Linked DNA regions of Oreochromis niloticus. The protein of the gene in region 3 binds, or shares a complex with, the protein of the main gene of each other region. Links are inferred from orthologs where the notes say so. Each region holds a gene or a part of one and is shown on either strand. Other genes may lie near its edges.

Region 1 (7,498 bases), on a different chromosome or scaffold from region 3:
AGAAAAAACACACACAAATATTAAACACCTCCACCCTCCAGAAAATACAAAAAACATTATTATGTCAGTATAAAAGTTTTATTTTGATTGTGTGCATTATGTGGTTATGTGAGACATAAACAAAAAAATGTGTTTAATTTAATCTATTAATTTACATTTTCTTACGATGGTAGTGATCCTATGATTTGTTGTTTTTCTCATGCAGATCTGGCATTTGGCTCTACCGTTACAATAAAAAACCTCCGTATTGCTGGAGGTTATTTGCACTCTCATTGGCACTTATACCCAGAAGGAGTTGGCGCAAGGCAGCAGCAGGTCAGGCTAATTGTTGAAAACTGAAATATTTTATATATTTATATTTGTAGTTTCTTTGTTTTTTTAACTTTAAATGTTTTCTTATGATTTGTTTGCTTACAGGTGACAGCCTACCTCCATAAGGACTACAACAACTTGTGGGTGGTTCACAGACAACAAGATAATAATTGTGAGGAACTGACATTGATATATTTAACAATGTTGCCAAAGACAATGTTAAAATCCAACTAGGATAAGGAATTGTTGTTTTATTGTTTATATCTATTGTTTTGTTTTGTTTTTTAAAAAAGCTCAATCTGGCAACCCTGATCTTGTTCGCCATGGTGATATCGTTCGACTGGAGCATAAAGAGTAAGTATTATGAATGACAAGAAAAATGCACATTTTATTTAAAGTGATTCAGTCTCAGTTCCTTCCCAAATCTCTTTGTGTGTGTGTGTGTGTGTGTGTGTGTGTTTCTTTCAGGACAACACGTAACCTTCACAGTCACCTCCATGAGGCGCCTCTGACCAAGAAGCACTTCCAGGTTACAGGTTATGGCATTGTAAGGAAGGCTTTAACATAACATCTGCACTAAAAATACAGATTCAGTTGGACTTGACATATTTATTGCATATTCTGTTTTGGGGTTTTATGGGTGTTCTGTACACCAATACTAAAATTATTTTTGGTCTATTCTTAGAATGGCACAGGGGACGCCAATGACCTGTGGCAGATGGAGGTGTGTGGAGGTCGGAAGGGTGACCCAGTAAAGGTGCTGCGCAGCAAAGTTCGCTTTCTACATCGAGCTACCGGCTGTGTGCTTTACTCCTCTGGCAAAACTCTTCCAAAGTGGTAAAACTAGCATACTTTTAAATTTGAGATGACTTTGTACACAACAGGTCAAAACGCACTACAAATGTTGTTTCTGTTTAGGGGCTGGGAACAAATAGAGGTGACCTGTAGTCCCTACTTGAAGGAGACCCCAAGCTCTCAGTGGAACATTGAGGACCATATTAATCCAAAATGTATGATCAATTCATTCAATGTATTCCTATTTTGTGTTTGCACTTCTTGATGTCAGACAGCAGCTAACATGTTGTGTATTGTGTGTTCTGGCAGTACCCAACATTAGTCTGTCTGTGCTGAAGCCTAATTTTCTGGAAATCTTACTGGAGTCCCATATTGTTATGTTTAGAGTAAGTAATAATAAGAGAATAAATAAGCTCATCTGCTTTAAAAGAAAGTGCATCTTCATTTCTTTTCTTTTTATTTTATTGTCTTTTAGGGAAATAGTGGCTTAAAACCCAAAGACAATGAGATGAATTCAAAACCTTGGCACTGGCCCATCAACTACCAGGTGCATTACACTCTATATAAAATCTATTTTAGTTATATATATAAATATAAATTTATACTTTTTATCTTTTAACTTAATGTAATTTGTTTCCGTGAAGGGCTTGAGGTTTTCAGGAGTAAATGCGACAGAGTACCGCGTTTACCTGCTGGGGAACCCTGTAAGTTTGTTTTTAAGTTTTTATGCTTACAATCTCATTTAACCAGCAGATCAGTGTCCTCATGGTGAAAATGGTTTTCAGGTGGTGTGGTGGATAAATCTGGCCAGTTTGGGGTTGTATTTCACCATGGTGGCGGTGGCTTCCATAGCCACCCAAAGAGGTTTTTCACTGGGCCAACAAAGAATAGGTATGGTAAATAATGGTGGCTTAACAGTATGCTTTTGCATAGTGACTTTAAGTAAAGTAGTATTGTCCTGTGTTTCAGAGCATTCTCTTGTGCTTGTGAGAGGAGGTGGACTGCTGATGCTTGGTTGGCTCCTGCATTATGCACCTTTTTTTACGATGGGTCGTATCCTCTACTTTCATCACTACTTCCCTGCAATGCTCTTCAGCAGCATGCTAACAGGTACCAAACTGTGCTGGATTTCTGTATTCCAACTATAAAGTGCAGAGGGTAGTGCAGAGTTACAGAACTGAAGTAGAAGCCACACATAAGAAGCTTTTTTCAGCAGGTTTGGTGGGTGTAGCCAATACTTCACTTACAACTTACTTCACTTAATGGCTTGCATTAGAGCCGACAGTGTTTGGGACACAGTTATCTCAGTTTTGCATACTTGACTGACAGTTGTTGCAATTTTGGTTAAATAATTGTATTTTTTTCCTCCAGGACTGACGTTAGACATCCTTTTCAGAAGTGCTGACCTTCTACTCCACCCACCTTATTCTTATTGGTTCCAGCGAACTGGGCAGCTGCTGCTTCTGTTTAGTATTCTTTACAGGTGAGCTGAGTAGTATGAAGAATCAGCTTGTTCTTAACACTGTCAGAAACAGCCTATCATTACTGTGAGATATCTGCTACATAATGTAGTTCTTTATGATACTCCATCCATTGTTGTATACTTTGATTGATGCTCTTGATGCTCCTAATGGTTTAATAAGCCATGACGTTCTTGTAGCTGTGGATGAAAAGATTATGAATTATTAAAGGATTGTTATTGTTTTGTTGAGAATTAATGACAAGATTAATACCTACAGTCCATCATGATTGATAAATCATTTAAGTTAAAGGAAGCAGGTGCTCTTAATATGCTACATATTGTCATGTATATCATGTAGATGTAATACAGTTTTCAAGTTTGGATGGACTATCATACAGATATTCTAATAGGATTACAACTTTCTCATCTGGCTCTCAGCAAGAAGCTTCTCTGCTAATTCTTACTAAATATGAAAAGAATAATTACACTGAGGGTCTTACATGAACTTCTTGCTGCTGTGACTTTAGATCTCACAGCCCATTTTAGCACATGAATGAAAGTTTTTCATCTGCTTAGTGTAACTGACTGTGATCCATTCATTGTCTGTCAGTTTCTACCTGTTTCATCCGCTGTCCTATGGCATGACGGGTCCGCTAGCACACGAGCCGGGCAGCGCCATGGCTGGTCTGAAGTGGATGGACTCCTGGGAGTTCTAGTCTGCTTTGCAGGAAGATGACACTAATGATGTGACTTGCACCAACTGTTCTGAATATAAGGGACTTAAAACTGACAGAGTAGAGTGTTTGCACATAGAAGTGATTCTTAAAAGGTACTGATTGAATTTGTACGTGTCTTAGTATTTGTGTCACAGCATTTGCACCTGACGTTGTCTATCATGCATGAAGAATGCTTGATAAAGCAGACCTAACTCAATGCAATGTGAAAGCCAGATTGTGGTGTAAGTGGGAATCTTAACTTTGTCTCTGAGAGGCCTTAACTAACATCACAACTTCTGTTCCTAGATTTAATGTGTACTGTAATTCAAAACAATAAGCTAAAGTGCCTGAAAGGAAAAAGGTTTTAAAAAGTAAGTTTTAAAGGTTTAAATGCTACATGTCCCTGATTTTTGTTTTTTAAATTTTGTACATAGTTGGAAGCTATTAGACTGTATTTTGATTAGGGATTTTCTGATTTTACTCATTACTTAGTATTTTGGTACTGTACTTAGCCAATAGTGCTTTGTTACTCGCTATTTTTACACTAGGTACCGACTCTGTGTTTACATTTTAATGTGATCAATAAACAGTGATCCTGCATTCTGTATCTTTACTTATAAAGTTTTCTGCTTTTTTTAAGTTGAAGGAAATCTTTAAATTGTTTTTATGTTCTGTACAATAACATGAAGCATGTCTTTATTATTATATTGAGTTGAACCTTTTTTTATTTTACTGAGATTAAAATGATATTTTCAGTGTTGATAATTAAAATATGAATCACCACTTGAGATATCCCCAAAAGCTCAGAAATGTGTAGAAATCTGATAAAAGTCAAGAGTTCAAAGTATCATTCCAGAAATATCCCTGTAATAGCATAAAAAGTAATAGGGTATTGATTGTTTTAAAACATTTTTGTCCAAAATTTTAATTCCATAAAAATTATATCCAATATAATTACAAAAGGTCAAAATATCCTTAAATCTGAAAACTTTACACTGCTTGATATAGGTCCCCCTTGAAAATAATTACGTATAATATAATACATTGCTTTGGTCGCAGGTGTATAAACATATTCCTGTGGTCCCAAAGTTATATTGTTAGTTTAAATGTAGGAACCGAAGTCACCCCGATCAAAATATAACCGTCAGTTACTTAGTGTTCGTTGTATATTTTTTCTGATTTGAACTTAATACTGGGTTTATGCTCCAACATTATACCAGCGGGCCGCCTGGTGGCGTGTTTCTGAAGTACACCACATACACTCGTCAAATGTCAGAGCTGCTGCTGCCGCTGCCATTGGCTGTCGTTTATCACGTGATTATTGTGAAGATGGCGTCTCCAAATGGAGGTAAATTCTAATTCTTTACCCTGCGACGCTGTGTATAAAATGTAAAATTGAGATCTTTAAGCACATTAAACCGTTAAGAACTATAATCCTGTTTTAGCTGAAGACCCACAGACGACAGAATACGCATGTTAGTGCCGTATTTTTGCTGTTTGGACATGTTTTTCCGTTGGCTAAAGCCCTCACTAGCCCCGGCGTTCGGTCCAGTAAATGGGGAAGAAGAGCGGGTAGCAAGCTTGAATTCTGTCGTGTAGTCTGACTCACAGAGCTGAAGCTGTGGATGCTGCTAGCTAAAATATTAGCTGTTAGTTACTGCTGTACTACTAACAGGTTAAATCATCCCTCCTTAGACCAGTTTCATAACAACTACAGTGTTTTTGTTTCGGTTGTATTTCTTTCTTCTTCTTTTTTCTAACGTTTTTTTCTGTGTTGTACATCTCGTTACTCTTATTAATGGGAGCTGTGTACTTGAAATTTATCATTTTGTATGTTTAACAGTAAAGCGCCGTGTGTTTTAAAGATGACTGTAGACACTCACTGTTGTACCTCTTTCGTAATTTCTTCCATACAAATTGAGAGTAATTTGACCCAAAATTTAACATTGCAATCCATCCAATCTAGTCTTTGTGTAATTTGACATACCTCAGCCTTTTCTCCCCTTTTCCTCAAATGCACATTGCATTCTGTAAATATGCCAGGTTTGGGGGTAATAGCTCTTTGGGTTCCTTGATGTGCAAATGCTAATTTATATTGTCAGTCCGTGTTTCATTTGTCATTTCTTTGTAGGCTCAACTGAAGAAATTAGAGAAAATTATGTTTTGCAATTGGCTGCTAGTAACAAAGTGCCTAATACCTCTTGAGTTAAGTGATTTTGTATGCTTGAATGAATTCATAGATCAGTGTTAAGTGGCTTGACAAACAATCCTCTTAAAATGGTCACGTATTAATGATTAGGTGGAAAATAAGGGGAAAAGTAACAAATGGCCAAAGAAAAACTTTGAAATATCTTCACTAAATCTGGAGAACTACTGGTCAACACTGGTCAAAGTCTGGTTCAGTGGAAGGAAAATGTAAAGAAATGATGGGTGGCTCAAGACTTTTGCACTGTACTGTACATGGCATTAAACATGGAAGAAGATGCCTGGGGCTGTTAAAATAAGGTGTTATCACACGATTTGCCAGACAGACTGGCTCTGACCCAATTTTCTGCCTGTATTGTCACTACTGTGTGTAGGTCATGTTACTGCTGAGCAGATAATGGTACACAGTCAATCAGTGTTTGTGAAAGTTTGTGAAATACATTGCTGGAAAGCTGGTAAACAGCCCAGCATTTTCCACTTTTTATACAATTGTGACATGCTGTATGTATACATAGACAACTTCATCATCCCTCGTTAATTCTTAAGGCTGTTACGTCCCTGTAATTTCACTGGATGGATGGAACACCACCATTCTTACTAAACATAGATCCTTATCTGTTATTTTTTAATGGAGCGCCTTGTGACTTATAAGTCCAAAATAAGGTTTAGTGACTGTGAGTACCATAGAATTTGATATAGATGGGACCATTGTTATTCTATAAAAGACAACTTGCATCAAAATAGATTTTTTTTATTATATGATAAAGGTGATCATTCAGCACAGCTATGTATTGATTTTAGGAGACTCATGTTTCTCTGAACAAGCCACTTATTCAGCATTATTCAGTGTTGCAGGGAGAATGGAGCCTATCACAACTGTCACTGGGTGAAAGATACCCAGGGATTTTTTTTTTTTTTAGTAAAGATGTTTTTCTTCTGTGAAAATCCATCCATCTATTTAGTGCCACTTACATGTTCAGGGTTGTGGGGGAGCAGTCTTAGCAGAGATGCTCAGACCTAGCTCGTCAGATGCCTGTACCACCTGAGCTGGCTCCTTCTGATGCAGAGGAGTAGCAGCTCTAAGGGAACGCTGAAACATCATTTCACGATGTCATTCTTGCATTTGTTGCCCACAGTTCATGCCTCGTGGTTACAGTAGGAACTTAAATCTACTGGCTCTAATTTGTTTTCTTTGTCTCGATAGGTGATGATTTTGAGTCATCATTGCTGAGTTTTGAGAAGTTGGATAGAGCATCCCCAGACTTGTGGCCAGAGCAGTGTAAGTTTATCTCCTGCGCCTATGTGACTGGTTACCGTAGCATTTATTATGCATAAACTTTATTATTCTCTGATCTCTCATACAGTACCTGGAGTCGCAGAGTTCGCTGCATCTTGTAAAAATGTGAGTTAGATTCAATATGGCTGAGTTTGAGTTACACATTAGAAACATAAATAGGCTTGTCACACTTCATGATGCGTGATCTGTAACTCTTTATCACAGCCCATCTGCAATTCACCCCCAAAATGGATGTCAGATCTGGAGAGTGAGGATATTGAAATGTTGAAAGGTTGGTCCAAATAGCCAAAATTATGTTTTTTTTTCCCAGACAGATTTTTCAGTTTACTTGTTACAGTTGGTGTTAAACAGAAAGACTGGGGGACAGAGGCAGACTTACTATATAATCCTGTCAAATGGGTTAACATTTTGCTGAAGTTGGGTTAGTGCTTTTATTATGGGTCTTATTATCCTTCTGTAGAGCTGGGTAGCCTGACCACAGCCAACCTGATGGAGAAGGTCAAAGGACTTCAGAATCTAGCGTACCAACTGGGCTTAGAGGAGTGTAAGTAAACAAACAGCACACACATGCCAGTGTACAGATAATCCAGCCTTTATACCTTTAAAATCACTAAGAGTTCGAAAAGGATGTGGTCACATGTTACCACTAGATGGTGCTCATAGGCCTCTCTTGGGTTTTGCTTCTCTGTCTGGAAGAAGTAACTTCCCAGC
Region 2 (7,949 bases), about 29 Mb from region 3:
GTTGAAAATTGAATGTACTTTAATATAATTTGCACTACAAAGTCCAGCATCAAAGGGATTTAAAGCAAACACTTTCAAAGTAGATCTTAATACTTTAGATATAGAACTTTACAAGAATGTTAACCAAGGGTTAGACAAGCAGCTCTGTGTGTGTTAGTGTTACCTGTGCTTCCTGCTGCGTGGTTGCCGTGGCGGGTCGGTTCCCTGCGGATTTTGAAACATGTCCATGAAGATGGGTTCAAACTTGCGGAAAATCACCGTGGAGACCTCAAAGTTGCGTTCCAGGCGCTCCATTCGGAGCCTGAAGTCCTGTGAGAGCTTGGACATGTCGGCCCACTTCCTCATCTTGGAGAAGAACTGGATCAGACTGAGGAAGGGACAGAACAAGCAGAAGTGTACATGTTCAAACACAAAACAATGGAGGATAGGCTCCCATTAAAACTGTAACTGGAAATTTTGTAACACACTTTTTAAAGGATTTCAGTTTGTAAACATTCATTGTTTATGGTCAAATTTTTCTACAGATAATACAGAAAATTATTTCACTTTCTGTGTTATCTGTAAAGAAGACACTGAATCTGAGTCTTTTCTTCACCATCAGTCATCTAAAACCAGGTAAGTTACCACCTCATAATTTATTCGGCACACTGATGTTTTTATTGCTTTATCAGTTGCTACATTTTTCTTAAACTGCACAGTCAGGTCCCGCAGAGCTGACAGAGATTCACCTGAGTTTCGAGGAGCGAAGAATCCTGGTCAGTGAGACACAGTTTCCTTCCATCAGCCCTTTGCCCACTGTGGGAGTGGACCCCTTCCTGCAGGCTGCATACAGTGAACATGCCAGCCAGTGTACAACATCTCCCTGCAGAGAAACAGCAACACAACATTTACACATTTGTCTTCGATACATAACATAAACATAAAGCTTTGTGCATCATGCAGCTGCATGATGCACAATCATATTCAAAAAGTTGGGAGTTCGCCTTGTAATCGGAAGGTTGCCGGTTCAAGCCCTGGCTTGGACAGTCTCAGTTGTTGTGTCCTTGGGCAAGACACTTCACCCGTTGCCTACTGGTGGTGGCCAGAGGGCCTGGTGGCGCCAGTGTTCGGCAGCCTCGCCTCTGTCAGTGCGCCCCAGGGTGGCTGTGGCTACATGTAGCTTGCCATCACCAGTGTGTGAATGTGTGTGTGAATGGGTGGATGACTGGATGTGTAAAGCGCTTTGGGGTCCTTAGGGACTAGTAAAGCGCTATACAAATACAGGCCATTTACCATATTCATCTTTTTAGTCAAGAAACATCAAACTGATCAGAAAACATTTTGCTGTCACAGCTTCGTAAATGTAAATTAGGAATCAACATTATACTTATAAGCGTGTGTCTGTGTTTTTTTTAAAAGAAACCTTTCCTGCTTTTATCCATGTTTTTATTTTTGGATTCTACTTAAGCTTAAATAATAATAATAATAACAATAATGACAATATTGATAATACATTTTATTTAAAAGTGCCTTTCAAAACACTCGAGGACAGTTTACAGAACAAATAAGACAAGCATAAAAACAGGAAATGAACACAATAATAAAACAAAGTTTAAGAGCATGGAGTAGTTAAACAGAGTAGGTTATCTATCTTTGCATGACTCATGGTTTCAAATAATTCCCATTTATTGTTTTTCATTTTAATTTTCAATAAACAACGTTGCCATGAATTTTATGCATTTAAGTGAATAAAAAAATATTTATTCATTGAAATCAGCCCTATTCAAATAAAGATATGAGTTTAAGAGGTTTTTTTTTTTTTATTTTTTTTTTACAATGACCATTTATTTAATTGAAAGGAGGACGAAATAACAACACAAAACTAACTACAGAAGAAAAACTACTAATGTCATCTATTGGCCAGACTGATATTTCAAACATCAGTACTGACCTAAAAATTTCATCAGTAGTGGATCCCTATACCGCAAGCACTCTTTAAATTACTGCACAGCTTCACCCACCCACACTAGTATACAAAAACAGGCTTGATATAATTTAAGTCAAGCGTCTTTATGTATGTATGTTTATGAAAAAAAAAATCATGACCAAGGTCTGGGGTAACAATACGTTTTCCCCCTTTTTGTTATTCAGTCCAAACCCTGATGTGAACAAAGACTGTGGTTCTGGACAGTAGTTACATTCAATAAATAAAATATTATGATTACTCTAGTGTCTACTTTATCAGAAACTCACGCCATCACAGTAACCCAAACAATAAACAACATATGACAACAACAGCTCAACAAAATAAATCCCAAATAAATCTATATACGCTGTCTTTAGTCTCTAATCTATTTTTAGTTTATTTTATTGTATATATTTAGCTTAATCCAGCTGATACCTGCTGTAACATTAACGCTTCACTTGGACATTAAGTATTTTTGTATTGGAGAGGCCGAAACCAGGGGTGACTCTGACACAAGAATAAATCAGCACGATCATTTTACTGGCAATATGATTAGTTGATACACAGTGGCGATCGACTAACCGGTGCAACTCCAGCGTGGAAAGTAAAAACAGAGCCCTTTAACTGCTGTGTTCGTGTCCTGGTGAAGCATTCACTACGCATGAAAATTAATCTACAGTAATGAGCTTAGCAGGAGTCTGACTCGTTAAACAGCTACTGACTATTTAGAGGACATTATTCACCTCCAGAGTATATGTATTCCATATGGCAGTAAAGTTGTCCATGGCTTCTGTGGCCGTCTGTTCGTCCATGTTCAGCTCCTGACACAACGTCTCCAAACTCCTCCGCACCGAGCTCTCCTCCATCCTGCTCGACTCCGAATCTGAAGACTCTTCGCCCCGCATCCGCACCAGCGACAGGTGTAATTTCAACCTGAGTTCAAATCTAAAAAACAAAACACAGCGCCCCTCTTTCCCACTGCCAAATAACACAGCCCCCCAACTTGTTCAGGACACAACAACTTCCGTTATCAGTCCCCCACAATGCAGCGCGTTGGCGCGAAAACTTCACGACCCGGACCAATAAGAGGCGAGGGGAGCGTCGGTCCCGAGCTGTTCGCCCAACCCCCTGCCACAAGCTGAAAGCTCGTGCTCAGCCGACGCTCTGGCTCTTTGCTTTCAGCTGTTACCAGGCAACCACGTTCGAAGCGCGCGACCGAAAACATGTTCTATTAATTTATTTTAAATTTTGATTATTGGTATTTAATTGAACACGAGCAAAGCTATACGGAATAGAAAATAGAAAACGTTTTTATTAACTGTTAACTGTGTCAATTTTAAGATGGCCTACGAATGCGTTCCTTTCCCCGCCCCCGGAAGTTTAATGTAGAGGACTGAAAGGATCCTAAATTTAAAATACTGGAAAGATTGTAAAACAGAAAAAAAGGTAGCACTTGTAATAACCGGAAATTTTGACTTATGGGTGGCTTTTTTGTGATTCTAACCATGCATTTTTAATTTATATTTATATTAAACATTTATATTAAATTCAATTTACATAGTAATAAAATAGTAACGTCTACAGGTGTGTTTAAAATGCGTATTGTGGCAGAACTTCCTTCTAGAACTTTGAATCAAACTTTTAACTTCCAGAAGTAGCGACCCTAAACTGGATGAAGCTTGGTGGTTGGATGGATGCATGGATGGATTGAAAGGTATTTAGTTGTTTGTTTTACATTGCCATGGGACAAACCTCTAACCTCAGCAGGGCCTCTGGTATGTTCAGATACTGTATACTGTTAACTCTGGGTATATTAATTTTAACTGCTGGTGCATGCTCATGCTGTAATATTGTTTGGTCTTTTGTAACAGTGATGCTTAATCACATTAAAAAAGGGGAACATGGGGCTGACTGTATAAAAATAGCACATTTTAGTGGGTCCTCTGAAATGCTGAGTCTGAGTGTAGCAACGCGACAGAGACATCAATATAAATAATTCAAATGTGACGTATGATTAGCATGGAGTTTTTTATACTTTGGATTTTTTTGCTTTTACAGAAGTTTCAGAAACAGGAAAGAATAAAAAATCAAGAACATTTTTGTTTATGATCACTTTATTTTTGAAAGCAACTAAAAAGTAACTTAGCCCCCTCAAACTAAACTACTTCTGTAGCTAAAGAAAGTTAATGTTCTTTATAGTAGCATAAAAAATCTCTTTATAACCAGCTATCCTAAACTCTAAACTCCAATAGTCGTATGACCGTGTAATCTCAGTACAGATTAGACAGTAAATAACACAGCACTCTACCACAGTGTGTATCAAAACCCCATATGATTAAAGCTAGACTACTCAGCACACTAAACGAAACACATTAAAATCCTTAACAGTATTAGGAACTAACAACAAACCCCAGGACTACTCCCACTCGGTTTTGTCATTTACATCATTTATGTTTCCATTATTCTAAGTAAAGTAATGAAATGCCCCGTGGAGCCCCTCACACATTTAGAGACAGCTTTTAGAAAATCACAGCGGACCAGTGAGTGTGCTCTCAGTGAATGCTGTATCTGCTGTTATCTCTGGTCTCAATTGTCTTTATCAGCAGCTTCGGGGCAGGAGAGCTGGAGGCACTTTGGTAGCCATTAGTGCTTTTAGTACTTGAAGAGAAACCTGAAGAAAAATACAGGAAGATGTGTAAGACAAAATTTCACAAAATACAAATTCTCTGTCGTTATTAATGTAACCTCTCAGTCCAGGGGCCCGTTCTTCGTACCTCGCTATGTAAGTTAGCCGGATTTGATTGTTGACGATTTCGCGTGATCTTGGATCGTTCGGTTCTCCGAAGCTCATCTGGGACTTGCTGTCATAGCAACAGATCCGTAAGCGTAAACCTGCTCGGGAGCAGGTTTACTTTATGTAAACAGGATTAGATCGCGGCCACTCAGGTATGTCCGCTGCATGTACACGAAAGCAACAGCGATATTTCACCACTGTTTCTCCATAAATAAATATTATCAATGTAACTAAAGATAATGCAGTATTTGATTCTTTTATTGATTGCATACAGATACATACAGGTCATTTCCTAAGAAAAAGGGAAATGTACTAGTAATCATTCTATTACACGTATTTGATTATTTCAGATGTAATTCGTATTTTAGAGTAGTAATAGTAAATTACTTCGTGTAATCAAGATGAGAGACCACGGCTATAAAAGCGAAGGTGGATTTGGGAAGTCTGTCGCAGTCATGTCCTGTCCGTTTGTACGCGAGCAACCCATTGCGGAAGGTGCAAGATTGATAAGGAGAGTTTCCAGAATTCAGCGTATATTGCGGGATTGACAGGATCCGTCCTGTCATACACATACACACACACACACACACACACGAGGGGGTGCAGGACCACCACCTGTCTTTATTTGCTCTGCCCTTTTCTTGGTTGCTGTTATGAACAAACAAACAGATTATTTCAGGGTCTCTTTTCAAGAGACTAAAAGCAATATAAGTGATAAATATTACCATTCTGTAGAATATTCTTATATTTCACTTTTACTTGTCCCCATGTTCTAGTGGGTCCTGTTGTGGCTCTAATGTGAAAGAGGATATAATGGAATATGATATAATAAATTATTTACGAGTTTAATTTGTCAGCAACTTTCTGCCAGCCCTCTCTCCTTGCTTTTGCAGCCTTTGCAGTGTTCCCTTGCGTTTTAATTAAACTCTGAAACTCCTGATATCCCTCAGTCAAGAGTTCTTGCTCTGCTGCCGTAAAATACTGAGCGCGCGCCTTCGACATCTTCGCCGACCAATCACAGGGTTGCCGATCAATGTTTCTACTATCGATGCGTAGCCCCTTTTGAGACACCCAGTGATCTCGCATTACTTCATCCAGCTATACTGATCGTCAACAACAGGTGTGTTCGGAGAACCGGATTAGCGAGCTCAAAGTTAGCGCGATGATTTGATCTTGGATGTGTCATTTGATCTTGGATGTAGTAAGCGAGGTACGAAGAACGGGCCCCTGAGCATCAAGGGTTTAGTCATATAAAAACATTCTGTCACGGTCCCCGTGTCTCTCTGGCTGGCTCACGCTGGCTACAGGTTTTGTTGTTGTTTTTTGTTTTTGTTTTCTTTGTCTCTCCTCCTCCTCTCTGCCTGGGTGGAGCTCGTTACGGGCTCTCGCTCTTGGCCCACGCACCTGTGATTGTCTCCACCTGCTGCTGATCTGGCTGATTTCCCCAGCTGCTATTTAAGGCAGTGGCACAGAGCAGCTCACCGCTGGAACGTTGAACCTCCTGAGTTCGTGCTCTCGGCATTATCAAAAGAATCCTCTATGTGAATTTTGCTGTGGAACTAACGTTGAATTCTGTGTGTAGATATCCCTCTTCTGGACCAAATCATGGGACCTGCCCGGGTGTGGCAGCATGTGTGGAGTTTCGGAGCAAGTGCGGCTGAAGAGGAGTGCGTGTGTGCGGAGGAGCTGTGGCGGTGACTGTGTGGAAGAGGAAGCGTGTGTGGATCCCCCCCCTTCTCTCCCCAGAGCCCTGGACCCCCCCTCTCCCAACTCACTGTACATATATATAGCACTGAGGTGATCCCTGTTGTAAATAAATAATCTCCTTTTGTTCTCAAAGAAAGAACTGTCTGCGCGTGAGTCCGTCCAGTAGCCATGACACATTCATATTCATACACTAATCTGCCTTAGTATTTGACACTTACTGTAGTTGGAGATGGGCTGGATGTTGAGGATAGACTGTTGTCCAAGTCTGCAGAGGCAAAAGAGGAAAAAAAGAAAAGAAAAAGAGGTTATTTATATTTCACTTTTGTGGACTCTTTAACTCTTCTGTTCCATCCTGGGCTGTAACCATGTGGTGTCACATTCCCACCTGTAGAGGGCACTCTACCCTAACATTACCCAAATTCTGTTTCATTTCAGTCTGGTGTAGTTCTCACTGATGTCTCTATTATCGCTCCATGGGGTATGATAGCCCCGTTGACCTTGAATTAGATACGCAGAAGAAAATGGGTGGATGAATAAATCATGATAAATCTCTGGCTTCATCTGGGAAACAAAGAGCTGCAAAATGGCTTATCAGCAAAAAGTATAAAAGTCATGAGCACCACAAATGTTTATCTGGCATTAGCAGAAAGACCTGAACCTTATGGCATTCACACAATAAAGAGAAACAGGAACTAGGAGTTAGCAATACAAAAAACCTTTCCATTGGAATCAGATCCTTGTCTGGTTCCACTGTTTCTAACTATTAATTTAAGATTTAAACTACATTATTATTATTGTGGCACACCGACAAATTAAAAAATGTTATTTAGTGCAACATTTTCTTTGCATTCAGAGGTTTTCTGAGGGGAAATTTGGGTGCAGGAACAAAAACAGAGTATATAAAAAATCCAAAAAGAATTCACTCATCTACAGCAACGTCACATTTTTGCGAAGCTTTTTAATTTACAAAATTATCATATGAATATTTTTATCCATAATATCAATTTTTAATTTAATCACTCTTAGTCTCAGTGCCGGTATTTCACTACCAATCTCATTCCAGTAAATCAAACATCAAACTAAAATTACCCTAATGATGGTCATAAAGGCTCCTGTATACACACATCCATGAGTATACATAAATAAAGAAATGGTTTATGAAGTAGTTTACTTTTAGTCAGAGTCAGCAAACATAAGATTATGCAAGTAACATTGTAGATAAGCCTCTCGCAATTTATTCTTATTGGTTTGGAAGGATGTACATTCTGGTGAACTCTCTGCAGTGGTAGAGTCTGAATGGAATAACCATAACCACCTGTCCTCCTCTCCTTCCAGCAGCTTCCTGTAGGTGGCGATCTCAATATCCAGAGCCAGTTTCAAGTTCATCAGGTCCTGCAGGTGAAGACAGAATCAGTTTCACTTCACGTAATTTCACTTCACGTATGTTCTATGTTTTCTTGTCTATCCTTTGTTTCTACTTATTTTATGTTTAGTTTATATTTT
Region 3 (7,916 bases):
ATTTATTTGTTAGGTCAGCATGTAGCCACAACTGTGAAATAGCCAAGACTGAACAGATGCAGAACAAACAGTATACAGAATACATTATACACAATATAAAACCGGGACAGTTTTTTAAAATAACCCTGTGGTATTGTGGATATTTACCCCATCCACCATGTCTAACACTTCCTTCAGAGCTGGGCCAGTGGGAGACAGGAATCCGGAGCTGTCCACCACCCAGCTAGTGCTGTTCAGTCCTCCTGTGCTGTCCACCTCACTCTTGGGGCTCAGACTGTTGCTTGGAGAGGGAACAGACTTTGACAGCCCAGCTTTGCTGGGGCCAGCTTTAGCTGTTTCCTGCAGCTATTGGAAAAAGAAGATTCTATAACAACACTAGTATAGACTAGTTTCTGATACTTAAGGTAACGGTGTTATTATTTTTTTTTTTTTAAATGAATCTGAACAGTCACTTACTGAAGGAGGGATCTTCTGCTCCGAGTCCTTGTCTGAACTGTCTTGAGAGCAACTGGGCATCTGTGTAATGAGAAAAAACCCAATTTCTGTATCTTACCATACATATCTTTTGTATCTTGTATCATAGAGGAGGACATCATGGAAACACAGCCCACCTGACCATCCTTGCTAACACGAGCCCACAGCTCCTCCAGCTCATTGGGCCTGAAGACCTCCCCGGAGTAGAAGCCCATCTCTAACTTCCGTTTGATGGTCGAATTCCAGTGATTCTTCACTGCATTGTCCGTCCTGTCAATATATATCAGGACGTGAATTGCAGTGTTTCCCCACATACTGACTTCATTTGGCAACACAAAGTAATCCTCGCACTTATTTTGAGAGTTGACTTATTGTTAAAACCTGGCCCTTCTCCTGAGACATCCAACAATGTAATTACACTACCTCTTAAGTGTGTCTCACGTCCTGTGGATGAAAGGATTCCAGCAAACAACAGTAGACAATACTCTGCTGCGAAGATCTGCTGTGACCTACAGGCTCAGTCTAGCTGGAACAAGTTCCTCGTGGTTGAGAACAGAACGAGAACTACTGTTTAAGTTTAAGACTGTGATGTAGGAGTCCATTGCAGGACAAGTGACCCACCGGATAGGCAGCTGATTAAATTGTTCATCAGTTGTTACAAAGTATCTGACAAGCACGGCAACGTATCAAACTTTTCTAAGTTAAAAATTTAAGAATTCACTTCAGAAAAGAGCAGGAGTTTGCATGTAAAAGCTCACATCAGCCCAATTCTGTTTCTGGCAGAGTAGCTACTTGCCTTCCAGGGAGCAGTTTTGCGATCTCAGCCCAGCGATTGCCAAGCAGGCAGTGAGCCTTATAGATGATGAGGTCCTCCTCAGCCGTCCACGAAGACTTCTTAACGCTGGGATTGAGGTGGTTGTGCCAGCGCTCTCTGCACTGCTTCCCCAGTCTGCCTTTCAGGTGCTTGGCTACCAGCGCCCACTGTTTGTTGCCATAAAGATTCACAAGCTCTATAACCTAGAGGACAAAAAAGAAAAGTTAAAAAAAAAAAAGATCACCAGCATGCTTTTATTCACAACATATTTACTCCATTCACACCTCTGAACTACCTACCTTCTCATCTTCCTCTTTAGTCCAGGGGCCTTTCACTAATTCTGGGTCCAAGACTTTAAACCAGCGATGCTGACACTGATGTTCAGTATGATTCTAAAAAAACAAAAAAGCAAACTCAAAATACTGAAAAAGATTTCTGTTGACATACATTCTTACAGAAAAGATGCTCAGACTCACAGGTATGTAGCTGGCTATGGTTTTCCAGTCATTTGGTCCCAGTTTTTGAACCAGCGTTTTAAGCTTGTCATCCTGTATACACACCAAAAAATGAGCATTTCTTATGATCCCTGTCCTCCTCTAGAGCCATTTAAATTATCTGTTTACTTCAATGTTTAAATGAAGCAGTCTGGTTTACATTATATATATTAAAAAAATAAAAATAAACAAATACCTCCTCTTGAGTCCATTTCACCTTCACTTTCCCTCCATCCCTCTGCTCTGCCACATCAGAATCAGTGTCCTGATGCATGGCCTCCTCTCCATCCTCACTGAGAAACAAACAACTGTGATGTGGACGAACATAGCTGACAGACAACTCACTACTGACCGGCCCTGGTGATGTCCGGAAGACAGCTAGATTATCGTTCTTATTTTTCTAGCCAACTTGGCGGATAACAGTTCGCTCGCAGAAATAACACAGTTTGCCAATAATGTCTGTGCTGAGCAGTGATTTATTTATCTAGTGTGATCTAAGAGAAACCGTGTTTGGCCTTAAGTTTAACCCAAAGCCTGTTTTCCGTGTCCGGAAAAAGGGCGGCCAGACACAAGCGAGCTCCCAGGGATAGCAGGGTTAGGTCAAACAGTGAAGACTTCAGTTTCCAATTGACTGTATTAAAAAGAATAAGTTAAATACTCACGTCAACCCCCAGTGTTAAAAAACACACACACAGCTAATTTAGGTAATAACGATTAACATCTTACCCGCGCGGCCACCGGGACATTTCCCTCTATTTCTGTTGTTTACGGTCCGAAAGCGATTTCTCCGGCGGCCGTTGCACGTCATGTGCATACGTACTTGGTATTATGTCGTCGTAATACCCGTGATTAATGTCTTTATGCTGTAGCCAGTGTTGGTGATGGAGGCTCGGCACTGTTCTAATGTTACAGCCTATACAACCAGCTGGTGCGGAGCGCCAGAGTTGTCCGCGCTCTTGGATTTCTATCTCGCGCTCTTCTCTGTCGTAGGAACCGGATAGTGACGTAGCTGCGCATTGGAGCTGCGCGTAGCCACAGAGAAAGCTTCCGGTGGAACTTTTTTGGGTTTGTCCCAGCGCTGTAAATTTTGTTTTATTATCGTAAAATAATGTTTTCTGCAGTCATTGGTGTGTCTCAGTCAAACACTGTAAACACCCAATTGCTGAGAGGGGAAGTTTAGATATTGTTACATAATAAAACAGTAATGAAATTTAGTTTGAAAAAACACGATTTTTCTACTACAAAATTTCAGACACTTTCACATAAAAGTGTTTACTTATAAAGTCATTTTAATTTATTTTTTGTTTGTTTTTTCATGTTTACACCTTTAACTAAATATACTTTCTACCATTTTCCTTCCCAGAAAATCTATAGTATGTTTGCGAACAGCTTTTAAACAATACAGTGCTTATTAGACCACCACCCGGTGTAAGGTTTATGCACCAGCTGCCTTAAATTGATAGTACTGGTATTCAAAAAGTATTTTTAATGTTTCTGTAGTGGTTAGTCCACCAGTATGTGTAAGCTCTTTAATAAAAATTATATTTTTAATGCTAAAATTTTTTTTTTTTTTTAAACAGCATACAAATAAATAGTTTTTAAAAGGTTTAGTGATCTTGTTAAAATTACAGCCTTATATATAACCTAACAGATTAGCGCTCAATAAACCACAAGTAAATTACAGGGCCTGAATCTGTACAGGGCTGACAGGTCCGCCTCCTGCTCCCACTGATGACCTGCAGCTGGGTCAATTAGCAAGCAGCTCCAACAGCTTAAAAGCCAGCTGGAGGAGGGAGGCAGCCCTGATCAAACATGGAGAAAGTGTTTGTGGTCAAAGGTAAGAAAACTAGACTGAATTAGACGTGTTGATTTGCCTCATCAGGTGATTTGTTTCTGAATTCTGTCTAACATGTTTTACCTTCTAGATATGAAAAGCTTTGAGTGCTCATCTCCATCAGAGCTTGACAGGAAGTTTTATGGGGAACAGAGTCTGCTGTCTGTACTGTCACTGGAACAACTGTCCACATCGAGGGTGTCGAATGACACAACAGCTGATGGATTGGACACCAAGCCGTCTATTGGAGCCTCTCTCTGCCTGTCCTCTGACACCGCCTCTCCCTGTCCAGGGTTTTCAGTGAACACCATGAACACTCACGAAGCTGATGGCTGCTACCTGGCCGTCCCGTTACAGGGGAAGTCCTCCACTCCCCACATGCTCCTTCAGAAGCCAAAGCAGGCAGCTTGTTTTGATCAGTCATACAGCGATCTCACCGCCTCACAAATGTCATGGGACGTGTCTGTGATCAAGTCGGAGAGCAATAGCCCTAGATTCTACGTGGAGTCCTGCACTCTGGAGCAAACGTGGAGTCCAAAACCCTCACAACAAGAGTCACTAGCTGATGTTTCACCCTGATGTGGCTAAAATTAACACTTTACAAGGGAAAAATGTTAGATGTCAAGTGTGATGTGCACTCCCAGCCTCTGCACCCACTATGTCCAAGTTAACACCCCCCCCCCCAATCCATAGTTTGACATCATGTTCTGTTTTAAAGGATCCATGTGAGGACTGATGCAGAACAGTTTGCCTTTTTAATAATCACATCAATGTTTTAACTACAAAAATATTTTCAAAGCACTGTTAAATAAAGGGTATAGAACTTTATTTGCTCTGGTATATTCTTACAATGAAAGACAATACAAAGTTATAAAATGTAGCTGTACATGTTCTGAAAAGTGTGGTTACCACAGTCCCTCCATTGTAACTGTGCTCATAAGCTCAAACTGTGCTAATTTCAAAAGGGACGTATTGAATGTTCAGATTTCTTGAATCCAATCACAGCGGAGTGAACCGGGCCTCAGGATCCATATCGTGTTCCTGCCAAAAGTGAGGAAAGTCATTTTTGGACAAAGCCTTTAGATGCAAGCAGATGTAGTTATGAACACACTCACCTGATTTAGTTTCTTGAACTCTACAACCTGGAAGAAAATGTGTTCCAAGATGTGCTTGGCATCCCTCTGCTCTTTATCCAACTTAGGAGTCACTCCGAGAATTTCACCACATTTCCGGACGTAGAATTCAAGGTCATCGTCTGTACCTGTGAACACAACCCATTTAATAACAGGATGAGTACGATTAACTATCTGCTTCAAAACAGGCAAGTTCAGAAATAAACTTAGTTTAAGGGAGATGTCTGGGTAGAGTGTACAATAGGTGGGACTAGGGTGATCAGATTTAAAGGAGACTCATGAGCAAACATTTAACATGTAAATATCTGTAGCGGGAGGATTGAAAGTAGCATCCCAACTGACGGCAGGTATCAACAGGCCTTTTTAGACTTGTTTAAAAAAACAAAAAAAAACATGCTGCATTTCCTGTTATTTGTAGTACTTTTATTCATATTCCACGAACATTTCATTCACTTTTGGTGATTTGTGAATTTAAACTTTAAGTAGTGTAAACAGAAAAATATCATGACATGCTAACCTGCAGGAGAACCATGACAGCATTCTTCAGTCATTCAATAAATCGATTCAATTTTATTTATATAGCGCCAATTCACAGTCGCCTATATTTTATTGTAAATACCCTACAATAATAGACAGAAAAACCCAACAATCAGATGACTCCCTATGAGCAAGCAACTGGTGACAGCGGCAAGGAAAAACTCCCTTTTAACAGGAAGAAGCCAACAGAACCAGGCTCAGGGAGGGGTAGCCATCTGCCACGATTAGATGGGGTGAGGGGAGGACACTGTGGGAGTAGAGTTTAGGTAGCTGCTCTGCATCGTGTTGCCACATGGCACTAAAGATAACAAACCCGGAGGAATTGGCTGACTTTTGAAGTGTCCTGTCTTACATATATATTTCGACTTTTAAAACTAGGTCAAATTAAAAGATAAGACATAGGTTAAGTCAAAATATGTGATACAAGAGATGAAACTGCTGTGCAGTCCCACGTAAAGAGGGACACCCGATCAACCTATATGAGATAAAGGATGGCTACTGAACTGCTGTGAAAATAACCACCTAGCTTCTCACACATAAGTAGCAAATGAAAGTCAGTTTAATGTGGAATCTGACTGCCCTGGACATGTAAGTCCTCACATACGCCTCCATCAATAGATATCTAGAGGGCTGCAGTGCATGTGTGAATGCTCCATTAGCAATCCTGAACTTACACTTATTGGTGAGCTGTGCCAGTCGCACTTTCTCCGACGAGAATGTTTCGTCTAGATCGAACAGGTCCAGCATGGGTGGTGGCAAATCATTTAAGGCAGGTGGAAAGACCTGAAAGACAGGACAGCACCTACTTTTGGCTTCAAACTTGTGGGACTTTAAGCAAAAATGTTGTCTTAAGTTTTCAGTTACATTGACGTGAAATCCTTTGAACAGAAAACCCCCAGAAAAAAAAAAAAAAAAAAAAAAACTCACAGCAGGCTGAAGCTGAGGCAGAGGAGTTTCAAACTGCGGTGCAATCAGCTGCAGTGGCTCAGCTTTCACATTAAGCTGCTTGTAAGCACTGCAAACCAAAGATCTGTTTTTAGCTTCGAAGGGAAACAACAGCGATTGGACTCAGGGGAGGGTGACCAATTTCTCACCTGATGACTTGGGGTAAGGTGTCAGTCGACAGATTGAACAAAGACATATCAAAGAGAGAGGTGAAGTCCCGTGGGTTTTCGTCTCCTTCTTGTAAGCACACTCTGAGCTGTTCAGACAAACAGCCAGTGTCTGGCAGCATTGTGTAATCTGTGATCTGGGGGACAAAAAAAAAGGACAAGAAGAAAAGAAGAACCTTGGCTCATTTAAAAAAAAAAGAAAAAGAAAGAGAGAGAGAACAATTAGGAAAGCCATTTTGCCATGCACACTCCTCTTCCTCACCTCTGGGTCTTCGGCATCAATCTGATTCAGCTGAATGTTATCGGTCATGAGCCACTGAAGCACAACGTCCTGTGATAAAAGAAAAAGTTGTATGCCACGGCAGCCAATAAAAAAAACTACTATTGAAATACTCATTTAAAGGAGCTTTATTCTAGAAGGATCATGCTTCTACCTTTACCTAATAAATTACACAAAAAAGTGGACTTACCATGATTTTATTGTTCTCCTCTTTGTCTATGTATTGATCACTGAACATGTGGCAGGAACCCAAGACAGCCAGTTTGCCAGAATTCTACATTTAAAAAAAAGTAATCTCCATGTTACCACATTTCTGACCATATGGTTAGGAAAAGAAAGTTGTCACTACACTGTGCCTCTGACCTTGCCCTGATAGAAAGCCAGGACAGGCCTGTTGAGGGGAAAGCAGACGGAGCCCGTTGAAAGAACAGCCACGGCCGGCTTCACCACGGTCAGTGTGGCACCGTACGGGTACACAAATGTGAGCGCCCTGCACAAAGAAAGACAACAACTCAAATTTGAAGTCTTTCTCTTTAATGCAGAAGATGGAGGTGTACAAAATTGAGACTCACTGTGCATTGTTTCCAACATTTTCATCTTCAATGATTCCCGTGACCACTTTTCCAGCAGCACGACTGATCTCCCTGCACAGGAAACAGGCAACTGAATTGATAGTTTGGCATTTATCAGCATACAGATGAAATTAGATAAGTGTTAGATTATGCCATCATAAATTTAGGCTAGAACAACCTGGGACTCTGTGAAATATACATAAAAAGAGAAAAACACTGGTGAACCTGTTCAGTACACCATTCGACACAAGCGCCTCCTTAGGATGGAAGTATTTGTAGTACACATTCCTCACCACAGCATCTTGGATGAACAAGATGAAAACGAATACAAAGCATTTTAAAAACAGCATGGGCAATGTTTGCATAGTTGTTTTTCCAACAAGGTTTCAATGCACACCATTGTTGACCATTACTCCGAAGTCCTCCAGGAGGAAATTGATGTTTGTGTCATACTTCATTTCTCCTCCTTCACCGAGCATGACCAAGATATTCCCTCCTCCATCCAGGTAGACTTTCAGCGCCTCCATCTGAAATAAAAGGAAATAACTACTGTGAAAATGTGTTTGCGGTTGAACAAATGAAAGAAGCTTAAATATTTTGGGTGGCCCTAAGCCTTGTAGAATTTTAGACTGCTTGGAAATTAGCCGGCAAATATCATCTTTTCGC
Region 4 (7,305 bases), on a different chromosome or scaffold from region 3:
GTATGTTCAATTGATATTGACGCAATCATTTACAGTAGTAAATATATTTAATTTAACAGTAACATGTGGAACATGACAAGCAATATTTTTGTAAAAATGTATTAATAATACAAAAGGTCATTGTTACCTGGACAGTCTTCAGCTGCTGGGTCTGTAATGTGGTCACCTGGTTGCCCACCACTGGCTTCAGGTCTGACCTCCCACCTATAGTCACCACTTTAAACTGCGGAGCTTGAGACTTGGTGTCCCCGGCAGTCTGTGAAACACCAGGCTTGCTGCCTGTGTGGGGTAACTGAAGCACTATAGGCTGCCCTGATTTTCCTATAGCTGTAACCAAAAGTTTCTGTCCATCCTGCTTGATGACCTGAGGTGGATTACCTGCAGACTTTGCTGCTTCTGAGGCTTGAGAGGCCACCTTATTGAGAATAATCTGGCGATTTGCAGGAGAGATTGTAAATGGAGTTGTGAGCTTCTGTAATCCACTTGTAGTCACACTAGTTCCAGTAACACTGTCTGTGGTTTTGGTTGTGGCTGTCGAAGTAGCCAAGCCTGGTTTGATAGTAAGAAGAGGAGACGATGTGCTGGAATTTGAGACAGGAGGCGGACTTCTGGGGCTGGCACTAAGCATGGAGTCTGTGGCTGTGGAGGTGGTCATAGCCTGAGTGGGTTCGGTTAAAGCGGCGTCTGAACAGAGGCTCACGTTCTCTGAAGCCATGGGTGTATCAGTTTCCATTGGGACCGATGCATCATCACTGGGCTCTGAGTGGACTCCAGTGGTGCCAGGTTGAGAGTGAGGAACATCCTCTATATCCTCAGTATCCATGATCTCATCAGGGAGGAGGCTGTTGAGCTCTGGTGACACTACATCCATGCTTGCAAACTCTCAGCTTTCTGTTAATCCTGAAAGAACAATACAATTAACTTTAATTGTCATTGCAAAATACATCAAAAACACCAGTAAGCCACAACATTAACACCACTGTCAGCTTAACTTATAATACAGGCACACATGTTCAAACTCCAGCAGGTCAAATCTGTTTTATTGGCTATTAGGCAGGAGGGTTTTCTGTTGTATTTGATCACTTTTATATTATTTGAAAGACCTAGAAGCTTACATTTACTGCACTAGATGCACCATGAACAGGGAGAGACAGACAAAGATAATACAATTTTAAAATTCTGAGGATATACATTCATCATTTTAGAGAGCTGTTGCATTTAATTGCAGTCAACAGTGTTTGCAATTCATTTAAAAATGTATTCCTCTACTCATTTATACAATATACATAACTGGATTATAATACAGACAGACAGCTAAAAGCTGTGCTGAGAATATAGAGCAAGATAGTTCAAGCTAGCGAGCTAGCCATGTTGGTGCAGTAGAAGTGCCAGATTGTCATAACTTTACCTGTAAATCACTTCAGTAATTACGTGAGGTGTAATAAATAAAGAGGTGGGCATGAGTAACGTTTGACTTGTGCTGATTTTGACTGAAGCAGACAGCTGATGCTAGGCCGCAACGATCATCTCTGCCGTATCTTTGTCCTGCTGCACTCTACTCAACATTAATCCACCGAAACGCACATATGAACCCTACCCACTCCATACCACATTCACACGCAGAGCTGACTGAGCTGAATCTCTTCACGTCCCCAGATGAAAGCCATCAAAAGAAAACTGTGCTGAGTTGCACTCGTTTATTTTAAAAATGCCCAGAAGTGGTCCTGACTGGGGCAAAGAGCGAGGAAAAAAAGCGACAAGCTGTTTTGTTGGCTGCGTTACTATTTCAGGCCGGGGTTGGATTTCGAAAGATCCGCCATTTTTACCTCGTCATCAGCTTAGTTAGCTGCCCGGCTAACGCTAAGCTATGCTGAGGGGAAGCGTTTATAAATATTGGTAATAAGCAGAGACACTTACACTGACAGTTCACTGCAAAACAAGCATTACTAAACAATCGCTGAAGATAAGACTTGATGTTAACAGGGTGCTGCTGGCGAGTAAAAAAACAACAAAAAACAACAACAACAACAAAACTCTGCAGACTCTGACAACGTAAACAATGCTAGCTTTCACTAATTTCTCCTGTCACTTGACATAGGAGGAAATACAACATTTTAATTCCACAATGCAATTATTGCGATTGCTACTATAGATCTCCTTAAGAGCATTTACAGTCTGTGTTTTAGGGCTGGAGTTAGCGTGGCCTAACCAGTTCAAAATGATGTTTTAGTTTAACCTCAAGAAAGTCATATTTTGACTGAGTTATAGTCTGAGAATGAACCAGAAAAGCGTAAATTCCAAGAATGTTACGGGGTCAACAGCTAAAGTAATATGAAAACAACTAACAGCAAATGGAACTGCTGACTTGTGCCTTCTAATATTTTACATACATATAAAAATATCTATGATCCTTTAGACGTTTCGCCAGTATGTCAAATGAAACTCGATGTGCAGCTAACTTAGCTTTTACTTTTCATTTGCCGTTGCAGTAAGTAAACTTAGCGGCCGGCTCACATGATATTTACACCAAGTCCCTGTTTTGTGCACGAGAAACTTTCCTTAAGCGCTGAAAATACTCTGCCGAACCAAGTCCTGGGAATATTATACTGCTTTTTCACCGGAGTCTATCTTTAAACATCGTTATCGTTATTGTTATCATTATCACCATCAGCAGCAAAGACAGCAACAGCAGTCTCATCTAGACAGCCCAGCGGGCAGGACAACTGTACTAGCAAACTTGCTGAGCTTGCTAACCCGAGCTAGCTAGCACAACATTATATCTCAACATTGAATACATTCTTTAGTGTGAGTCTTTATGTTGAATATAGTGTGTTAAATCCTAGAAAGGGCCAACGCATAGTCATGCTTACCCCAAATTTTTAAGCTAAGCAGCGTTTCCAGATAAAGGGAGGAAAGGAAAAGACGATTGTTCAAAATACCGCGCCGAGCGCCATTCCTCCCTGACATTTCACAGGCCGGCCACGCCCTCCACGCGATACGAAACACTGACGTAACACTTAAAGCTACAGCACAATTGCTTTATCAACGTTAGGACTGTTTCTACAAAACTATTTAATGCTTCTTCTTCTTCTTCTTCTTTTTTATAGTTTTTTTTGGGAAAATAAAAACTTTTATTAGTTTATAAAAAACAAACAACACAGTCAGCCTTGGAGCTCGTGTGCTGGACATTACCAAAATCTGACAGAGCACTACCCAGCAGCCTCACTAAGTGCCCAGTCTCACGTACCACTGTCAGGTAGTCAGTAAATAATAAGGTGGTGGACATGTTTACTTACATGTCCCGTAGTTTCTCTTACAGTAACAGTGGCAAAACACATGAAATGCACTTCAGAAAATCAGAGAAGATAAACTTCACCCTGCAGTTGTTACTGCCTAGATGGGAGTAAACTGTCTTCAGCATGGAGATTACGCCATGATTCACTCCCAGATTCGACCTGCTTGCATACTACAGAGTGTCAAGAGATGTTTTCGCCTGAGGTCTTAGGCAGGCCAGCGTAGTCTCTTCAGTACATTCATCATAAGTCTTGATGCATTCTCAATCATCCAGGAAAGTAAATCTCGAAAAGTTGAATCTGATCATCTGGACGTAGCGTTTTGTGGGAGAAACGTTTCGTCACTCATCCAAGTAACTTCTTCAGTCTCAGCTGACTGCAGGTTTCCCCAAACCTAATAAACAGTACATTTGCATAATGACTGAAACCAGCCCACTGAAGGAACAATGGGCTGTGAGGTCAGTTCCTTAATCATAATTATGCAAATTCCCATGACCATTGATCAACAATCACTGACCAAAACCCACTGATCAAAGAACACTGATCAATGGCCATGAGTACCATTCACTTTGAGTTGGGGAATGGCTGCAATCACAGCGTTGTAAGATGGCGAAAGATGTACCCTCAGGCCCCCTCCTCGATTCAGAGATGGTCTTTCCCTCTTCACGTAAATGGCCTCCTTGACTCCGCGCTCAAACCAGCATTCCTCCCTGTCCAGGATGTGTACATCCTCATCATTGAAAGAGTGTCCACTGGCCTGTAGGTGTAAATAGACTGCAGAGTCCTGGCCTGATGAGGTTGCTCTTCTGTGTTGTGCCATCCGCTTCGCTAGAGGTTGTTTGGTTTCCCCGATGTATAAATCCTGACAATCCTCCTGGCACTTAACAGCGTACAGTATGTTACTCTGTTTGTGTCGGGGGACCTGATCCTTGGGGTGGACCAGTTTTTGGCGCAGCGTGTTTTGGGGTTTAAAAGCCACAGAGACCCGGTGTTTAGAAAAAATGCGTCTCAACTGTTCCGATACTCCTGACACATATGGGATCACTACAGGTTTTCGCTTGGGCAGCAGTTGTCCTTCTCTCCTGGATCAGCTGGAGCTTTCTTTAGGTGCCTTTCCCGCTTTGACAAAAGTCCAGCTGGGATAACCACATTTACTCAGGGCCTTCTTGATGTGCTGTTCTTCTGCCTCCCTGGCCGCTGTGTCTGTGGGGATGGTGTTCGCTCTGTCTTGTAGCGTCCTGATGACACCCAGTTTGTGCTCCAGTGGATGATGAGAGTCAGACCTTAGATACTGATCCGTATGTGTAGGTTTACAGTACACGTCAGCCTTTAGATGTCCCCCATTACTGATGGAAATCTCACAGTCTAAGAAGGCTAACCTGCCACTTTTCATATCCTCCCTGGTGAATTTGATGTGCCGGTCCACCGAGTTAATGTGATCTGTGAAATGTAGTACGTGATATGATTAAGGTACTGACCTCACAGCCCATTGTTCCTTCAGTGGGCTGGTTTCAGTCATTATGCAAATGTACTGTTTATAAGGTTTGGGGAAACCTGCAGTCAGCTGAGACTGAAGAAGTCACTTGGATGAGTGACGAAACGTTTCTCCCACAAAACACTACGTCCAGATGAACAGATTCAACTTTTGGAGATTCATCATAAGTGACATGAGGTCCAGTTGATAGTCAATGAGCTCTTATGGTGCTGACTTTTTCTTGTACAAAAGTCGATACATCAGGCATGTCTTTATGTATTTTGCGTAATACTTATATACTTTTTGACTGATGTTGATTATAGATATTTAGTTTTTAACTGATACCACTTGTATATAACTTGACCTCTGGTGTCATATGTATTTTATTACTATTACTATTATCCAACATTATTTAGTTAGGCTATATATTTTAGTTGTATTTTACTTAAACAAACAAACAAACAAACAAACAAACTTTTGACTGGTTTGACAAAAATGTCAGCTCAATTCAATTTTATTTACATAGCATTTAAAAAGTAATAAAAAGAAAACCCATACAGTCAAATGAATCCCCAAGAACAAACACTTGGAAACAGTGGAAAGGAAAAACTCTTTTTTACCAGGAAGAATGTGCCAGAGGGTACAGGGGCAGCCATCCACTGCAACTGGTTTGGAGTGTGGGGAAGAGAAGAGAGCAGAGAGAAAGACAAGGCAAAAGACACGCTGTGGAAGTCTACTAGAGATTAGCTGTAACTAATGATTATATGTAAAGTGCTGTATAAACACACAGAAAGTAAGAAGTAAGTGAAGAAGAAAAGTTATTCATAAAAGTAGAGAGGGTGTCTGTCTCCTGAATGCAATCTGGTAGCTGGTTTCTCAGAAGAGGGGCCTGAAAGCTGAAGGCTCTGCCTTCCATTTTACTTATAAATGCTCTAGGAAACACAAGTAAGCCAGTAACTCGAGTGTGAAATGCTTTGTTAGGGTGATATGGTATTATGAGATCTTTAAGATAAGACAGGGCCTGATTATTCAAGACCTTGTATGTGAGGTGTAGAATTTAAATGGGATTCTGGATTTAACAGGGAGCCAGTGAACGAGAAAAAGCCTTGCTAGTCCCCGTCAGTACTGTTACTGTAGCATTCTGGATCAATTGAAGGCTTTTCAGGGAGCTTTTAGAACAACCTGATAATAATGCTTTACAACAGCCCAGCCTAGAGGCATTAAATACAGAATGTAGTTGTTCAGCATGTCTGTGAGACAGGATATTTTATTGCGCAAACACAAGAAAGCCCCTCATATTTCAGATGATACTAGTGTTAAAAATAGATTGACCCTTTTTTAGGTTAAAACACAAAATTACCAGAAAAAATGTAACCAAATATAGCTATGATTATTTTCAGGAAAGGGATGGATAGTTTATAATACTCACCAAGTTTTGTTTAAAAACATATATTATCACTTAAAATTCAGACAATAAAAAAGTAATACAATAGATCAACATTTAAGCCTGGCCTAAAATAATTATAATCATTCTTTTCCCTCTTCCGCTCCCATGGCTGGCTGCGTCACTTCCTGGCTGAGCTCTGCGCTCTGACTGCAGACGGAAGGCTCTCCCCTGTCTTGGCAGAGGAAACCGGTGTTGACACTTCGACACAGGCTACAATGGCGACCGAAGTGAGGCAGGAGCTTACACAACTGATGAACTCAAGTGGATCTCATAAAGATCTTGCTGCCAAGTATGTAACGTTAGTTAGGGAGAACATCACTCGTTAAAAACTGCAACAGAAACTGCTAGCTAGCAGCTAGATACTGGTCTGCACAAAGCTAAGCTAACGTTAGCTGCATTAGCCATACATCCAGATAAACCAGATAGAAACGCAATCAGTCTGTCAATGTTTGCTTTTAGGTTTTATCCAAAGTGCAAGGAACATAAAAGGAGTGACTACCCACATTAATTGTTGGTAAAATAATTATGAGAACTGTATATTTTATCATCCAAGCTAACTAGCTAACTTGCTGCTCTTTAGCTGCACATTTGGTGCAGAGCACAAGGTAATAATAATAATAATAATGATAATACATTTTATTTGAAAGCGCCTTTCAAAACACTCAAGGTCACTGTACACAGTAGAGTAAAAAGCAACATAAAAGCAAGGAGTTTACACAATCATAAAAGCATAAGACATAAACAAATTTAAAATAGCTTAAATATAGCTTAAATACAGTTTGAACAAAGTGATACTTGACTAGAAAACTGCCAGGACACCCTTTGCGTACGTTCTTACCATCCTATAAACAACATCTTTATTAGGAACACCTATGCAATCCAAGTACAACTGTGCTGTAAAGTCTACTTTTGCAATTTCAGTTTTCGTCAGTATTGTCCAAAAGGTGATAAATCTATTTAAAAGGTATCTTTTAGGTCCTGTTGTATACGTGTTTGTATAAGAAGAAAGTGTTTACTGTATTTTTATCCACAGTATATGCTAATGGTTAATTAAAATGGAAATATTTAAATAGCTGTTTATTAAAGGGGGG

What was found.
Region 1: the proteins of mybl2b (region 3) and lin52 are in contact, whole or in part, in a crystal structure (PDB 6C48), measured with the Homo sapiens proteins. The link is inferred for Oreochromis niloticus from reciprocal best matches to the Homo sapiens genes MYBL2 and LIN52. Residues at the interface, in NP_002457.1 of Homo sapiens: Trp663, Val666, Ala667, Gly669, Thr671, Asp673, Gln674, Phe676, Lys680, Ala681, Gln683, Leu684; in NP_001019845.2 of Homo sapiens: Gln84, Ala87, Tyr88, Gly91, Leu92, Glu94, Ser95, Met98, Thr99, Lys102, Phe103, Leu107, Glu108, Lys109.
Region 2: mybl2b (region 3) and rbl1 share a complex: the UniProt entries of both Homo sapiens proteins name them as parts of the DREAM complex. The link is inferred for Oreochromis niloticus from reciprocal best matches to the Homo sapiens genes MYBL2 and RBL1.
Region 4: mybl2b (region 3) and lin54 share a complex: the UniProt entries of both Homo sapiens proteins name them as parts of the DREAM complex. The link is inferred for Oreochromis niloticus from reciprocal best matches to the Homo sapiens genes MYBL2 and LIN54.

The regions. Positions count from the first base shown.
Region 1 is NC_031983.2:9,853,308-9,860,805, reverse strand, and holds the start of lin52 (protein lin-52 homolog), read left to right. Parts: upstream 1-4,485; coding exon 4,486-4,633; intron 4,634-6,694; coding exon 6,695-6,769; intron 6,770-6,854; coding exon 6,855-6,892; intron 6,893-6,991; coding exon 6,992-7,058; intron 7,059-7,247; coding exon 7,248-7,331; intron 7,332-7,498. Other genes in the region: pomt2 (protein O-mannosyl-transferase 2), read left to right, coding at 206-315, 418-484, 606-666, 781-859, 998-1,149, 1,231-1,322, 1,417-1,493, 1,583-1,654 and 5 more.
Region 2 is NC_031970.2:5,191,258-5,199,206, reverse strand, and holds the start of rbl1 (retinoblastoma-like protein 1), read right to left. Parts: upstream 3,005-7,949; 5' UTR 2,851-3,004; coding exon 2,689-2,850; intron 863-2,688; coding exon 729-862; intron 368-728; coding exon 164-367; intron 1-163. Other genes in the region: si:dkey-222f2.1 (keratin, type II cytoskeletal 8), read right to left, coding at 4,498-4,616, 6,665-6,711, 7,762-7,838. UniProt on the Homo sapiens protein: Key regulator of entry into cell division. Directly involved in heterochromatin formation by maintaining overall chromatin structure and, in particular, that of constitutive heterochromatin by stabilizing histone methylation.
Region 3 is NC_031970.2:33,717,050-33,724,965, forward strand, and holds the start of mybl2b (v-myb avian myeloblastosis viral oncogene homolog-like 2b), read right to left. Parts: upstream 3,002-7,916; 5' UTR 2,529-3,001; coding exon 2,509-2,528; intron 2,076-2,508; coding exon 1,979-2,075; intron 1,837-1,978; coding exon 1,765-1,836; intron 1,681-1,764; coding exon 1,588-1,680; intron 1,492-1,587; coding exon 1,271-1,491; intron 745-1,270; coding exon 612-744; intron 517-611; coding exon 457-516; intron 346-456; coding exon 148-345; intron 1-147. Other genes in the region: ift52 (intraflagellar transport protein 52 homolog), read right to left, coding at 4,616-4,657, 4,732-4,877, 5,961-6,069, 6,214-6,301, 6,381-6,535, 6,661-6,729, 6,869-6,952, 7,042-7,168 and 3 more. UniProt on the Homo sapiens protein: Transcription factor involved in the regulation of cell survival, proliferation, and differentiation. Transactivates the expression of the CLU gene.
Region 4 is NC_031972.2:11,870,368-11,877,672, forward strand, and holds the start of lin54 (protein lin-54 homolog), read right to left. Parts: upstream 3,005-7,305; 5' UTR 2,871-3,004; intron 2,800-2,870; exon of another isoform or gene 1,609-2,799; intron 1,564-1,608; exon of another isoform or gene 1,409-1,563; intron 901-1,408; 5' UTR 872-900; coding exon 128-871; intron 1-127. Other genes in the region: cops4 (COP9 signalosome complex subunit 4), read left to right, coding at 6,430-6,503. UniProt on the Homo sapiens protein: Component of the DREAM complex, a multiprotein complex that can both act as a transcription activator or repressor depending on the context. In G0 phase, the complex binds to more than 800 promoters and is required for repression of E2F target genes.